Linked DNA regions of Struthio camelus. The protein of the gene in region 1 interacts with the protein of each later gene in a pairwise test. Links are inferred from orthologs where the notes say so. Each region holds a gene or a part of one and is shown on either strand. Other genes may lie near its edges.

Evidence for each region.
Region 2: the proteins of CDC42EP2 (region 1) and ARHGAP26 interact in binary tests that used the Homo sapiens proteins (3 or more experiments, as listed by UniProt). The two-hybrid records come from large-scale screens. The link is inferred for Struthio camelus from reciprocal best matches to the Homo sapiens genes CDC42EP2 and ARHGAP26.

Annotation. Positions count from the first base shown.
Region 1 is NC_090976.1:824,040-831,556, forward strand, and holds the start of CDC42EP2 (cdc42 effector protein 2), read left to right. Parts: upstream 1-4,516; 5' UTR 4,517-4,716; intron 4,717-5,782; exon of another isoform or gene 5,783-6,022; intron 6,023-7,517. Other genes in the region: POLA2 (DNA polymerase alpha subunit B), read left to right, coding at 521-629, 1,265-1,371, 1,817-1,876, 2,428-2,554, 2,664-2,810. UniProt on the Homo sapiens protein: Probably involved in the organization of the actin cytoskeleton. May act downstream of CDC42 to induce actin filament assembly leading to cell shape changes. Induces pseudopodia formation in fibroblasts in a CDC42-dependent manner.
Region 2 is NC_090954.1:1,927,875-1,935,433, reverse strand, and holds the start of ARHGAP26 (rho GTPase-activating protein 26), read left to right. Parts: upstream 1-4,548; 5' UTR 4,549-4,702; coding exon 4,703-4,856; intron 4,857-7,559. UniProt on the Homo sapiens protein: GTPase-activating protein for RHOA and CDC42. Facilitates mitochondrial quality control by promoting Parkin-mediated recruitment of autophagosomes to damaged mitochondria.

The DNA.
Region 1 (7,517 bases):
TTGACGTTTAAATCAGCCGACTGGCTTGAGCTTTCCGTGCCTCGCGCCGAGGCGCTCCGCTCGCCCTCTCGTTAGGCGAAAACGAGGCCTCGCACCCCAGGATTCGGCTTTTGAGGCCGGATTCGTGGCTCCGTTGCTTGTAAACATCTCCGCTGAGAAGTGAGAAGGAATTGCGATCTCTGGGAAACCGGAGCCCTTTTTGTGGCCGAATCTGGTGTAAAAAGTGCTCCGAAAACACGGCGCGGTCCGAGCCTCGGGTGTGGGGTAGCTCTGCTGCCGGCTTCGCAGCTTGGGTGGGAAAAGGAGATAAGGGGATTTTGGGGGCTCGAGGGGGATTTTGATCCTCCCAGAGCCTGTGCCCCCGACGCGGGGCTTTCTGAGGCCGCCCGGCCGCAGCTCGTCCACCCGGAGCGGGCGCCCGCCGCGTTTCGATGCCTTAAAAGCTGAAGCGGGAGCGGGCGACCTGCGTGGCTTCGGCTCCCGTTTTCTCCCCCGTAACGGGTCGCTCTCTTCCCGGCAGCGCCGGCTCTCAGCTCGTCTTCGTGCCGTCGCTGCGGGACGTTCACCACGACTACGTGTACCCGCAGCCGCCCTTCGCCTACCCCGAGCTGCCGAAGGAGGACAAGCCGGTAACGTCCTCGAAATCAAACCCGTCCTCGAGCGAAACGGGATAACGGGTTTTGGTCGCTCGTTTGGGGCGAAAAGCGGCGTCTTTCTTGCGGGTTTGCCCTCGGCCTGTAGAGCGGACCCGTCCGGAAAGGACCGGCAGCGGTTCTCGCTGGCAGGATCCGCTTGGGAGCTCCCTGAGGAGCAAAAATCAGCGGAGCTCAGGCTTCCCGGGAGAATCCAGCTGCGATTCACTTTATTTCTACTCGCTCGCGGGTGAGAAAGCGAGAGCGCCAGGGAAACCTCCTCTGACCAGGAGGAGGAGCTGGGAACGGATGTCCTGGCTGCTCCTGCCCCTGTGTCCCGCTCGTGAGGTCGTGGGGCTCCCCGAGACGCGGGGAAATAAGGAATGCCGTAAAAGATATCAAGATGGTTTTGCCAGGAAAAACGCATCGTTTGAGGCGGATTTGTAGAGCCCAGCCCTACGCGTCTCCTAACCCTCTTTTTCCTAATTTAACGCGTTTCTGACCGAGGAGCTTCCACGCCGCTGTCGTGGCGTCGGGCGACTCCCCAGCCCGTCCCTCGGGTTTAGACGGATTCGGAGATGCCGGCGGCGCCCTTGCCGGAAAAACCCATCGCGTCCCCCTTCTCGTTTCAGCGCGTCCACTTCGTCTCGGACCCCTGCACCCTGGAAATCAACGGCACCGTCTTCGGCTTGACCTCCACCGACCTGCTCTTCCACATGGGGGCCGAGGAGATCAGCAGGTGGGCGCCCGGAGGCGGCAGCGGTCCCTTGCCACGTTTTCGCGGCGGGAGCTGCCGAACCCAGACCCAGACTCGCCGGGTTTTAGCCGCTCCTGCGGAGAGAAGCCTCAGCCGCTCCCTCCGGGGTCGTTTCGCTCCGTTTTGCCTCTCTGGCATCCCGCCTTGGCGAACAAAATGCCACCGGCGTTTCTCTGCTCGGGCTGTTTTTCTCCTGGCGCGTCGCGCTCCGTTTGCGGGGCTCGGAGGAAGAGCTGGCCCGAGCCCGCGGTGCTGGGCAGAACAAAACGCTTCGTTAGCCGCTTGCCTGCGTCGCTAATCAGGCCCGCTGGCTAATTGAGCGGCGCAGCATGTCAACAGTGACCTCACAAACGAGCTTAAGCGCTACCTTTTATTCCCCCCCCCCCCGCCCCGACTCCTTTTATAGCTTGTTTTCGGTCTCTTACAGCTCCTCGGGCATCTCGGACAGGTTCACGCGGATCCTCAAGCACGTCCTGACGCAGAGGAGGTGAGGCGAGTTCCTGGATTGTCGCCTAGCCCTGCCGAAAAAGGGCAAAACAACTGAAATGGCGCGCTGCCGTCCCTCCCGCCCCGCTTAGGGTGACGTTTTTCAAGTCAAAATGCTCCTTTTTGAATTCGATAACCCTCTAGATGCGCGATTTGGGGGTGCTTAATGCCGTACGTCTTCCAGACCGGCCTGCGCCGTCCCGCAGGACGCAACTGGGTCGGATTTTCCAGGCCGGTGTCCCGAGAACGGCCGGTAGCAGATGCCTGAGGACGGGGTAAAAGGAATAGGAATAACTGCCCACTCCGGAACGATCCGGTGGTTTTATGGCTCTCCAGATTAGCTCCGAGCTCCCGCTTGTTCCCCTTGAACAGACTGTAAAAGAGCGGCAGCTGTACGCTGATGTAAATTTGACCCAAAAGCTATGTTCTAACACCAAAACTGAATCCGGTTTAACGCCCAGCCGGCTTCCTCCGCCGTGAGGAGGCGTCGGCGCTCTCGCGATGCCGGAGGACGCGGAAGCGCGGACAACCTCTCTCTGCTCTCTCCGGCAGTTATTACCCGCTCTACCCGCCCGCGGAGGAGATGAACGTGGACTACGAGAACTTCTACAGCTACGCGGCCCTGCCCGTCACGCCGGACGTCCTCGTCGCCCCCTCGGAGCTGAGGTACTTCGTCAAGGTAAAGCGGAGCGGGCTTTGTCCGCTCTCCCGTGCCGAAATTCCCCCTGGGAAATTCTCCTTGGACGTAAGCTGGGATCGGTTTTAACGCGCCGGCTCTTTCTCCGCAGGACGTCCTGGGCTGCGTGTGCATCAATCCCGGCCGCCTGACGAAGGGGCAGGTCGGCGGGACCTACGGGCGCCTGTACGTGCGGCGGCACGACGCGGAGGGGGAGCGGAAGAGCCCTTGCGTTGCCGCCCAAGTTGTCAAAATTTAAGCCTCCGCTGGGCGGAACGACGGCGGGAGACGGGACGAAGCCGATCTCTTTGGCCCTCTCCCTCCGCGTAGCCTCAGGACTGCTGCTTTCGGGCTGCTTTTTTTGTGTATTTTGGCACCTGCAAAAGGAAACAACCAAACGCCAGGTGGGTGCTGGAGTTGGCCCGAGCGTGGCAGGAGCCTCCCTTGGCGTCACCTGCTGCCAAGCTGGGCTGTTCCTTCAGGGAAGCAAATAAAATGCACTTTGAATTTTGCGTATAAAAAGAAAAAAAAACCGCAATGCCCTAACGCAATTAATCTGTGGGTTTCGGCGCTTTGCGGGGGGGAGTTGACCCGATTAGCCCCCTGGATTTGCGTTCTTTCCCCCCAAAACTGAACGCCAACGGCGCGGAGCTGGGTGCCCGCCGGCGCTGGGGAATTTGGGTGCAGAAAGTGCTTTTTAAATTTTTTTTCCCTCCTCCCTTTTTTTTTTCGCCTGGATATTCACGACGCCTTACACCAGCGAGGGGTTGCACAGGCGGCCGTCTCGCTCGCTGGTCTCCTGCCTTCGGCTGCCGTGGCGATTACAGGCTGTGGGAAACCGGAAAAGAAACCTCGTCAGTCGGTGCCGAGCGAGGGAAACCGCGTGCTTGGTCTTCCCTCGCTAATTTTTCCGCCTAATGGGCTTGCCGTCCTAATGAGCGCTAGCTCCAGCCTCCGCAGCGTCCTTAAAACTCGGAGCACCGCGAGGGCAGCGTCGCCTCTGCCCGATACCCGAGTCCTTCCCCGAAGGGTTGTTGGTCGCCGCTCAAAGTGTGAGACTGTATTTTAAAACACGTCAGAGGGTGGGGGAAAAAATAAAGACAAAACAGAGCTAACAGCCGCTTTCGGCCCTTTCTAGCGACGCTTCAGCTCCGCCACGGACAACTCTATATGCGTTTAACCAGCCTGCGCATGTTCCGGAGCCAGGTTTGGGCTGGGCTTGGCCTCAGTTTCCCTCACAAAAAGGGTGTTTTTAGCTAAAACGCGCGAGCTGGGGCGAAGGGTGCCACGTCAAGGGGGAACTCGGGGCTTTTCGCCGGGGGGGGATCTGAGGTGAACGAAGCACCCGGCGTCGGCTGTTGCGATCCGGTGTCCTGCCCGGAGTGTCTCTTGCCTCTTAATCACACGCCACCAGCTCCTCTTGAGGAGGCTAATCTGCAATTTTAACGAGCGGGGGATCCGGCCGGGAGCGTTTTAACTCGGCCGCGTCCTTTCAGGCCTGACTCCGAACTCAAACCGGGCTGACGTTTAGTTCCACCCCTCCGTCCGTGAGCTCGCGGCGGCAGAACGAAACAGCCGGGCTCTTTCCAGCGCCACGTCCCCGAGCCGAAACTTAATTCTGTTAGCTGGGAAACCGGGGGGGGGGTCGAATCGGTGGGAATTCCCAGGGATTATTTTGGATGGATGAGTAATGCCGCTCCATCCACGTTCGCTCCGTAGGGAATCCTCCCTTAGCGGCTGGAGTGGACGCAGCTTTTTATCCCGTTTTGCGCTTAATCCCCCCCCACCGCCGCCGTCTTGCGAGTCCTCCCGCCGGCAGCATCCGATGGGGAAAAGCCGTGGCGACGGGCTCCTGCGAAACGCTGCTGTTTTGCTGCCGGGCAGTCAGAAAGGCTGGAAAAACGCTACCGTTCTCGTTCCGTTGGCGGCGGCCGAGGCTCCGTTGAGAGCAAACGTCGGCACCGGGAGAAGCGGGGAGCCGAGGCGGCGCGCTGGGCCCGGGGTGGGGCTTGCCAGGGCTCGGGGCCGGCCAGCGCCGTCGCTCCAGCATTGGCCGGGGCGGCGAGGGAGGGAACAGAGCGCCGGCTGGATGCGGCTCATCGCAGTCGGGTGCGCGAGATCGCAAAAGACGGGAGGAAGACGAAGGTGGCGGCTCGGTGGCGGCGGTGAGTACCGGGGAGGCCGGCGCCTTGGCGGAGGTTTCGGTTTTCTGGTTGCGGGGGTGGCGGGAGGGGGACGCACGCCAGAGTGGCGTTTCCCTACGGCGAAGCCCCTGGGGCATCCCGGCTCCTGAAGCATCCCACCTCCGTCGCCCGCAGAGCGATGCTCCCGTCCCCGCCGGGAAGGCCTGCTGCGGTACCGGCCCGTTTCCCTTCCCGTCTCCTGTCTCTCTTCCTGACTCCGTGCGGCGCCTCCGTTTCCCGGCTTGCAAAACGCGGCTCGTTCCCGGAGCGCTGCCGAACGGGGAAGCGATGCGGAAGATAAGCTGCGCGTGTGCCGGGGAGGGACGCGGCTTTTCCACGCTAGGAAGGAAGTTTTTGTTTCTCCGGTCGCTGCTGTCATGTTTCCCCCCTGCTTCCCTGCCGCCACCGACCCACGAATCCAGTCCTGAAATCCCATCGTGCCGCTTATCTCATCCCGTCTGCTTGCCGCCAGCTCCGAGACCCTCCGTGGCGTTTGCTTTCCCAGCGGATGAATTCGGGAATCGGCACAGCTCGCCCGGAGTCGAGCTGGGGCACTTTTTTTTTTTTTTTCAACCGAGAAGGGAGGAGGCAGAAGCAAATTCTCGCCCGCTGGAGACGATACCGCAGCCGAAATCGAATCCAGCCTATTTTAAATCTGGGGGGGGGGGGGGGATCGCTTACGTGTTATCTATAAAAAGACCCAATTGCCTCCTTTTTTTTTGCTACCGATCCAGCTATGCTCAGTGCGCTGCTTGGTAATTTTAGCAACCAGCTGTGAAGTTTCTACCCGGCTCGGGATTAAAACGAGCTGATTCGTGATCCTTGAAATAGATATCGCGCTCGAAACGCCAGCGGCCGGATCCTCCCTGCCCAGAGCGAGGCGGAGGAAAGGATCGCGGCGTAAAAGCGCGGAGGGCCCTGGCAGGTTTTAAATCCGCGGCTGTGTCAGCATAGCTGGGAAGGCGCCGAAGATATCCGGTGTCGGGACTTTGGCTCCGATACAGGGATATCGGAACGACCTGTGCCCTGCTCCCACCCAGATCCATCTGCTTCCGAGGAAGATGAAAAGAAACTCGGAGCAGGCGATTAAAAGCTCCCGCGTCCCACCGGGGAATTCCCGGCTCTCGCCCCCGCCGCCCGGGGAAGGGCTCGGCTCACGCGTCGGCTTGGGTGGTTGTTGCTGGGTTCGAGCTGTTCCCGTAGTTTTTCCAGGGAAGGATTTCAGCCCGTAGCCGCTCCAGCGGGAATCGGGGCAGGGAATGCAATGAAGCTCCCCGTCCGCTCAAAGGTGGGGTTGCCCGGCGAAGGGGGGAAACCGAGGCGCGGAGCTGGGGTGCGAGGCGGCCTCGCCCGAGTCGATCCGCGCCCCAAACCGCCGGCGGATGTTTCTCCGCCCGGACGCGGCCGAGCCCGGCGAGTCTCCTCAGCTACGTCGCGGCGTGTTTTCGGCTGCCAGGGAACGGGCTGCTGCGCGCGGGAGATGCCCGCTTGGGCCACGTCCTGCAACAACCAGAAGAGACCAATTCTTCCCTGCGGGTTTCCGTGAGGGCGGCGCTGGGCGACGCGGGCCAGGGTCGCAGCAGCCCCCCCACCCCAAAACGCATCCGCCAGGGTTTTTCCCGCTGCTCTGGAAGACCCGTATTCCCCATCCCATCGTGCCTCCAGCTCAGCAAGGGGATGCGCGTTCACCTCCCCAGCAAACATCCCTCTTTTGTGCTGCAAAGGTGAAACTTTTTTTTCTCCCCCCCAGAAGAGGATCTGCGACACATGCAGCCTTCTAGCGGCTGCTGGAAAGAGCCTCGAATGAGGAATCTCTTCCCAAATTTTGTTTTTGTTTTTTTGCTTGTGCATCTCCTGGCGCAAGTCTTTTGCGCTCCTCTTTTAGGTCTGCTTTTACACAAGGTTTTCCCCCAGAAATAGCTGCATTTTACCCAGGTGACTATCCTCCCCCCAGCTCTCTCAGCTGATCTAATTCAAGCTGTTACCTCCCCCTTGAAGGTACCTAAATAACGAAGCTGACTAATAAATGAAGCTGATAGGGCACCACCCTGGGGGAATACACCCAGTGCCCTGTTCAAATGGGCTGCCAGAGCACAGGAAAGAGGCCATTGGGTTGAGCGGATATTCGGAAACGTTTGCTAGGAAGATAGATAGGAGTTACCGGCTTCGTTTTCTGTGGCAGTCATTAACTCTTGTCCTTGCTCACTTGATTTCTGGACCCTGGAGTGTTTTTCACCAGACCTGTGCGCCCCTATATAATGAATTTAAGCCTTAATTACCTTTTTGTGGACCCTTTATAAATAGTCTGTGGAGCTGCCAGGGTTCAGGGTTGAAAACTTGCTGCTCTGTCCATCGGTGAGAGCCTGAGAAAGTTCAGGAGCGGCGGCCCTCTGTGCCGCGTGATGAAGCGTAAGTCCCTGCAACCGGATCAAAAGGAAACAAGCTTTACGCCGGGTGCGGCCGTGGGAAATTAGCTAAACGAGCTAATCTTAACACAAGCTGGGAAAAGGGGGCGGGTGCCGCGGAGCTGTTGCAATGAGCGCTCCCCGAAACGCGTGGTGAGACGCTAGACCTCACGCTTTAGGGCTCGAGTTGATCTCTGAATTATTAGAGACGGCGATGAAACCCAACGTGGGAAGCAGATTAACTGGCCTCTATTTTGGGGGCCTCGGATCCGCTTTTGGAGCGTTTGGTGTTGCCGCTGCCTGGAGCAGGGAAGCTGAGGGCTGCAAAGAGGGAAGAAGTAATCCAGTCTCTGTATCTGCCGGGTTGGCAGGACGAGT
Region 2 (7,559 bases), on another chromosome or scaffold:
AGTTAACATTTGTAAGCTAGGAGCCTAAGCGGTTTTGCAGATTGGGATCAGGGACCTCAGTCCTATTTGCTTCTTACTTCTGGCCACTGTGCAGAGGCTCATGTACTTCAATCAATGTGTTCTCCGCAGAGACCTACATTCAGGGTTGTTGTGGGCACCCATGCAAATCTGCCTGAAGGCCAGGAGGGGGACTGCAAGGACAAAAGAAGACATAAGCTGAAAAAGGAAAAGAGGAATCGAGGAGAAATTCCCTTGATGATAGTGGAAAGTCATGGATGCTACTGCAGGAGGTGTGACTCGGACATCGTTCCATGGCAAAAAAAATATGTAAAATCATATTAATCATGTTTGTTATATGTAAAACACACTAGCATTCAGTAGCGGGAGCGCTCTTTATCATGCTGAAGGTGTCTCTTAAGACTGTTTGCTGCAGCCACATGGAAAAGATCTATCAGACAAAAATACACCCAAAGCATGTTTCCAGGGTGACATGACTGCATTGGAGAAGAAGGGGGAGCTCTAAGAATGTCTGCTTCAGAGTGTAGTATTCATAACTAACAAAAAGTCCAGACCCAACGATCTGATCCCTCAAAAGGTTGTCAGTACAATAGGTCAATACATGCCCTTTGGTTTATAACAGGGAATTCATACAGATTCATTGCAAAGGTCTAATGTATTATTTGTAACTTTTTTTTTTCATATACAATGCTTCCTCTGTGCCCAGCTCAAAAAAAATCCTTGAGAGCAAGAGAGACATGGGTGATATGTAGTCGCATAATAAACGGACCTTGAACACTGCTGCTTGAGGGCAATTCCAAGAAACTTCTCATGTGGCTCCTGGTTTCTAATAGTCAAAATGCCTACTGTATTCTCCTGGGTTTTAAATAAATGTTTGCGTGTCCCACTCTGTTAGCTTTGGGATCTAATTAATGGGTGGTTTTACCACCTTCGTTCTCTCTGTTTCTCTGGCCCCTCTATGGCACTGGTCCTTATTTCCACAAACAGCGGAAACTACAGGCTTAGGCTGGTGAACGTCAGCAGTCTGAAGATAGCCTCCAAACTCACTGATGCAAGATACCTGGAAGGTGACTGGGTTTAACATCTCCTGACAGACAGTGTAGTAATTGTACGCGGATGCATGCACTGTAACACGGGCCTCGTTGCCTCCCCGAGGCCTGTCTCTGCATCTGTCTGGGTTGCTCTACAGCAGAGATGGGCCTGTGAGATGCAGTGAGCTGACAGCAGCTCTGTGCCATTGAAAGGGGAACGGGCCACTGCCCCATCCCCTCCCTGCTCCTGCTGTCCCTGTGGGTCTTGTGCCAGCTCTGGTGCTGTCAACCCTTCTGGGACCTCACTTATCCCGCTTAACTGGCAGAAAATTTCTCCAGAAAAGGAGAAGTGGTTGATTTCTACCATGTTAATAGCTGATTTTCTTTCAAAGAAGGTCCTGTAAACACTACAGGAAGCACAAGGAAGGGGGCAGGAAAATGCTGCTTGTGGTGGGTCAGCAAAAGGGAAGCAGGGGAGAGGTCATGTGCTCAGCCGGATTCGGGAGCTGATCCAGCTGAACTAATTCTACGCAAATAATTGTTCATTTTCAGACAAAGCTGCCTAATCCAGCTGATTGCCTGACCCACCAAGAGCTAATGCTGGTGCAAGGGGAGGCTGGGAACAGTAGCTGGAGCTGATGCGAGTTGACACTACGGCACTCTTCCTTTCTCCCGCTTGGTCAGGACAGTAGCGGCCCATGCACTTGCATCAACACCAGTGGTTATCTGATCACACAGTGAGCTAAACTAGGTAGAAACTGTTCCTTTTTTTTCTTTTTGTTTGTTAAATGCTGGATTAGTTTTCTGCTGACTCAGCCCTCTGAGGGCTCTAATTGTGGGATGAGCGTCAGGGACTATGCAAGAGAGAACGTGTTAATGCATGGTCAAGGACAAGCTCATGGGTGGGAGTGGGGGATTGCGGTGGCAGCAACTTTGATCTGCCTCAGCTATGTGTAAGCACAGCTTTAGAGAAGCACAGAAAAGTACTCGCTAGAGACTAATGACAGGCCAAATTCTGCACCCGCTAGGATCACTAGGAATGTTTCTGTTGGTTTAAATGGAAGTATTACCAGAGCCATGTACAGTGTCAAATTGACTTAGCTCACTGGAACGTAAGACAAAGTTGCTAAAAAAAAAACCAAACAAGCAAACAAAAAAAAAGCTCAAAGCAGGCAGGCAAATACATGAGGGATGCAAACTCTTAGCCACAGACAGGAGAACGTGGAAGTTTTGATTCTCAATTTTTGTTTTTTTGTTTTGTTTGTTTTTCCTTTGCTGTTCTTCTACAGTTGGGATGTATGATCCCAGCAAAGCTTGGCTGGAGTATATCAGCGGCTGTTTCTCCCCATTGCCTGCTGCCCTGCTTCTGCCAAGAGTGACACTCTGGGAGCTCAGACCTAATGAGGAGCACAGTGTAAGCAAGCAGGCGGAAGGGAGGACAAGTTCATATCTGGTGCATTGATTGCTGCATGCTAGAGGCCTGGGTTCTGCTCCTGGTGCGCGTGTGTGTGATACTGTGCATGTGAGAGAGCTTTGTAACATCTCAGTTTCGTCCTCATCATAAAATGATGGTCTCAACACCATTACTTTCTGTGATTCTGGAGAGGTGGAAAAGTTGAGCACAAAAATTGTTTCCAGTCCCAAATACTCTGATCCTCTAAGGCAGCGTCCTATAAATCTAGTTACAGGTTCTGCTCTATTAGCTGTAAGTGCTGGAACACTGTTTTAATATAAGCAGTAGCAATGTAGAAGGATAAAACCAAAAAATGTGCTGCTGTGGCTTTGTACAGCCTAGAATAAAGGAGCAAATACAAATAACTAGTGCTTTTACAGGGTTGTATGCATAGGGCATAAATTACAGCTAATTAAACTTTATACCCTGCTTTTTTAAGATAAGCATTTAATTAGTATTACATCCACTTTATAATTAGGAAATCTCATGCAAAAAGATGTGGCTCATCAACCACACTTGAAGGCAGTGACTCGGCTAGAATTAGGCTGTGGCGTGACGATAGAGAAAATTGTGCTTTAGACCTTTAGCGGGGAAAAAGCAGCGGGTGGCAAGGGATTGCGTTAGTATCAGGTCACTATGCCTGGACACGTTCACTAGAAAACACAGATGGATTAACTGTAGCACCAGGCTTGTGCTGGGCCACATATTGTCGGTGTTACACGGGGTCTAAACTTTGTGCAGGACCACGTCTCTCTTCCCCAGTTTGCAAATAAGCATCAAGCTGGCACCAGCTCCGCATCGTGTTTCACGGCTGACTGGACAGGAATGCCGTCCTGTCGCCGCGCTTGATCCCGAATACATTTGCTGCGTAGCTCGAGGATTCGTGCGTGCTGAACGGCAGCCTCGCGGCCTCCTCCTCGCCAGCTTGCGCAAGCTGGAATAGCTGAACTTCCAGGCTCCTAGGGAGGGGGAATTCCAGGCATCCAGGGATTACCAGCAAATGTGCCCGCTTGTCACCGGCCAGAGTGATGCTGCTGCAAGGGTGGGAAGCCACCGTTAGCGAGAGCGAGCTCGGGCTCGCCTGCGCGTGGATGAGCCATTCGCTGGTGTCCACGTTAACGGCTTCTGCTGCGCGCGGTTGGGGCCGGTGAGCAGGGCTCAGCGAAAACGAGGTGTCTGCAAAACCCCGTCTCCAGCTATGCCACAGCGCGCGGACTGTTTGAGGCCCGAACCTCCGGCTGCGATCAGCTCGCCCCGACCTCGGCTCCGCCACGTACTCAAGGCACGCGTTGTTCCCAGTCTAGCGGGCCAGCACTGACACTGTTTCTTCCTTTTTTTTTCTTTTTCCTAACTTTTTCAATTTTTCCTTTTTCCTCGCCTCCCGGGCCTGAGCGAGCAGGGCGCGCCGGGCGCCCCCGGGCTGGGGCGCTGGGCGACGCTCGGCCCTGGCGTGAGGCGCCGTTTCCAGGGCTGACGGGAGGGATTTCCTCCAGCCGCGCTGTTAAACCCGGGGCCATAATCCGCGTGGCTGATGCTGAATGGAAGGGAAAACCCGGAGGGCTGGTGGGCAGCGGGGGGGGGGGGGGGGAGGCAGCGGCTGCTCGACGCCGCGCGGGCAACGCGCCGCCGTCCGGATCGATCCGGATCGATCCCCTCACAGCGGCGCGGGCAGGCCCCGCCCCGCCCCTCGGCGGGCAGCGGCGCCGCTGATTGGCCGAGGGGCGGCGCCGCGTTCGAAAGGGGCCAGTCGCTTCGGCCCGAGGGCGAGGTTCGGCGCGGCGCGAGGCGGGGCCGGGGGGGGCGCGGCGCGAGGTGGGAGGCGGGGCCGGGGGCGAGGCGCGTTCCCATTGGCTGGCGGCGGGCGGCGGGGCGGGGCTCGGCTGGGAGGCGGGAGGGAGGCGGGTCGCGCCGGGCCGGGCCGGGCCGGGCCGCGCTGCGCCGCGCCGCCAGCCGTGCCCGGGCGGCGGCCCCCAGCGCGGCGGCAGCACCGCCCCCCGCCGCGCCTCTCGCTCCGCGCCGCTCGCGCTGCCCGGCCCGGCCCGGCCCGGCCCGGCCCGCTCGGCCCGGGGCGCGCCCCGCGGCGGGGCCGCCTCCCCCCGCCGGCGCGCGCTGCGCCTTTTAAGCTCTCCCGTTTTTCTCGTTTTTAAAATTTAATTTAGGGTTTTTTTTTTTTTTCCCCTCCTCCCCCGCGGCCGGCAGCATGGGGCTGCCGGCGTTGGAGTTCAGCGAGTGCTGCCTGGATAGCCCCCAGTTCCGGGAGCGCCTCCGCTCCCACGAGGCCGAGCTGGAGAAGACCAACAAGTTCATCAAGGAGCTCATCAAGGACGGGAAGTCGCTCATCGGCGCCCTCAAGAGTAAGTGAGGTCCCGGGGGTGCCGGTCCCTTCCCGCGGAGCCCCCCGTCCGGTCTGGTGCGGGCTGCCTGGTTCCTGGCCCACCTGGTCCATGGGAGTCCACCTGGGCTGAGGCAGCTGTCCTGGCCCACCTGGTCCATGGGAGTCCACCTGGGCTGAGATAGCTGTCCTTGCTCACCATGGTCCGCCTGGTGCATGGGAGTCCACCTGAGCTGAGGCAGCTGTCCTGGCCCACCTGGTGCATGGGAGTCCACCTGGGCTGAGGCAGCTGTCCTGGCCCACCATGGCCCACCTGGTGCATGGGAGTCCACCTGAGCTGAGGCAGCTGTCCTGGCCCACCATGGTCCGCCTGGTCCATGGGAGTCCACCTGGGCTGAGGCAGCTGTCCTGGCCCACCATGGTCCGCCTGGTCCATGGGAGTCCACCTGGGCTGAGGTAGCTGTCCTTGCTCACCATGGTCCGCCTGGTGCATGGGAGTCCACCTGGGCTGAGGTAGCTGTCCTTGCTCACCATGGTCCGCCTGGTGCATGGGAGTCCACCTGAGCTGAGGCAGCTGTCCTGGCCCACCTGGTGCATGGGAGTCCACCTGGGCTGAGGCAGCTGTCCTTGCCCACCATGGTCCACCTGGTACATGGGAGTCCACCTGGGCTGAGGCAGCTGTCCTTGCTCACCATGGTCCGCCTGGTGCATGGGAGTCCACCTGGGCTGAGGCAGCTGTCCTTGCTCACCATGGTCCGCCTGGTGCATGGGAGTCCACCTGGGCTGAGGCAGCTGTCCTTGCTCACCATGGTCCGCCTGGTGCATGGGAGTCCACCTGGGCTGAGGCAGCTGTCCTTGCTCACCATGGTCCGCCTGGTCCATGGGAGTCCACCTGGGCTGAGGCAGCTGTCCTGGCCCACCTGGTCCATGGGAGTCCACCTGGGCTGAGGCAGCTGTCCTGGCTAATGATGGTCTGCCTGGTGCATGGGAGTCCACCTGAGCTGAGGCAGCTGTCCTGGCCCACCTGGTGCATGGGAGTCCACCTGGGCTGAGGCAGCTGTCCTGGCCCACCATGGCCCACCTGGTACATGGGAGTCCACCTGGGCTGAGGCAGCTGTCCTGGCCCACCTGGTCCATGGGAGTCCACCTGGGCTGAGATAGCTGTCCTTGCTCACCATGGTCCGCCTGGTGCATGGGAGTCCACCTGAGCTGAGGCAGCTGTCCTGGCCCACCTGGTGCATGGGAGTCCACCTGGGCTGAGGTAGCTGTCCTTGCTCACCATGGTCCGCCTGGTGCATGGGAGTCCACCTGGGCTGAGGCAGCTGTCCTTGCTCACCATGGTCCGCCTGGTGCATGGGAGTCCACCTGGGCTGAGGCAGCTGTCCTTGCTCACCATGGTCTGCCTGGTGCATGGGAGTCCACCTGGGCTGAGGCAGCTGTCCTTGCTCACCATGGTCCACCTGGTCCAAGGTAGCTGTCCTGGCTCACGATGGTCCACGGTGCATGGGAGTCTACCTGGGCCAAGGCAGCTGTCCTGGTCCACTCAGTGCCTGGGAATTGACCTGGGCCATGGCAGCTGCCCTGGTCCATCATGACCTGCCTGCCTGGTCCCCCTGACTCATTGTGGTCCACCTGGCCCCATCCCTCATGGTGGTCCTGGTCCCTCTCTGTGGCCCACCTGCCCCTCACCTGTGTTGAGGGAGCGGTGTTGTGCCATGCATGGGTGTAATGGGGCAGGAAACACCTGGTGGCATGCCGGTGCGCCCCGGCTCGGGTCCAGCCGCCTCCTGCTGCGGGGAAGGGCCGGGTGAAGGCAGCGGCAGAGCAGCGCTCTGCAGGTTGCACTGTCGCTTTGCTGCCTGCGGGGAGGCCTATCTCTCTCCACAGCTTTCTGCCCGTGCCAGTCTCTCCCGTCCGAAATCCCCAGCGACGGGTTTGTTGTGGGGAGGGGACAGGGGACACAGGCAGTGCTGTGCCTGTCCCCAGCTCTGCCTCTGGACTTGGTCCTGTTTAAGGGGTGATGGGTGCACGTGCAACGGTTAGTGCCCTGTTTCTGGCCGCCCTGAAGGGAGACGGGTGGGAGCGTGTCTCCCTGCGGGGCTGGCTGCCCTCGGCCGAGGGTCGCCGGCCTCGCTCCCCGCGGACGTCGCAAAACCCCCGGGATTATCCTCCCATCTGAGGTGCGTGCGGCAAAGGCAGCTGGCGAGAAGCAGCCTCTCGCTGCGCCCGCGCGAGGATCCCAGCTGAGCAGAGCTTCGGGTTGCCTGGAAACTGAAGTTTTTTGTTTCCTGCTGGGGGTGTCCTTGCGACCTGGCCAAGAGGCAGCGCGACGCCGCTGGAGCCCTGCCGGCAGCGACCGGGGCACGGGTGCCCTTGGCGGGGGCTCAGGAGCTCGGGGGGTGACGGCCGCGGGAAGCCCGCGATGCCGCTGGGAGGGCTGCCGGGGGCTGCGGGGCCGTGCTCCCGGCTGTGCCGTCTCCTCCTCCTGAGCCGTCCCTGCAAACGGAAACGGAGATTATTGTTTGTAGGAGAGGCGCTGGGTGAGGGTTAAAACTGCAAAATGCTCCAGTTTTTTTTTGTTTTGAGTTCTGCAAGAGAAGGAAGTTCTGACACATGCAGCTGGCTATTTTGGTGCTGAGGGGCGATCCGGCGCCCAGGGTACTGCACGCAAACACCCGTATCTCGCAGCGTTGCTTTAATATGCTCTACCTCCATTCGCCAGTCC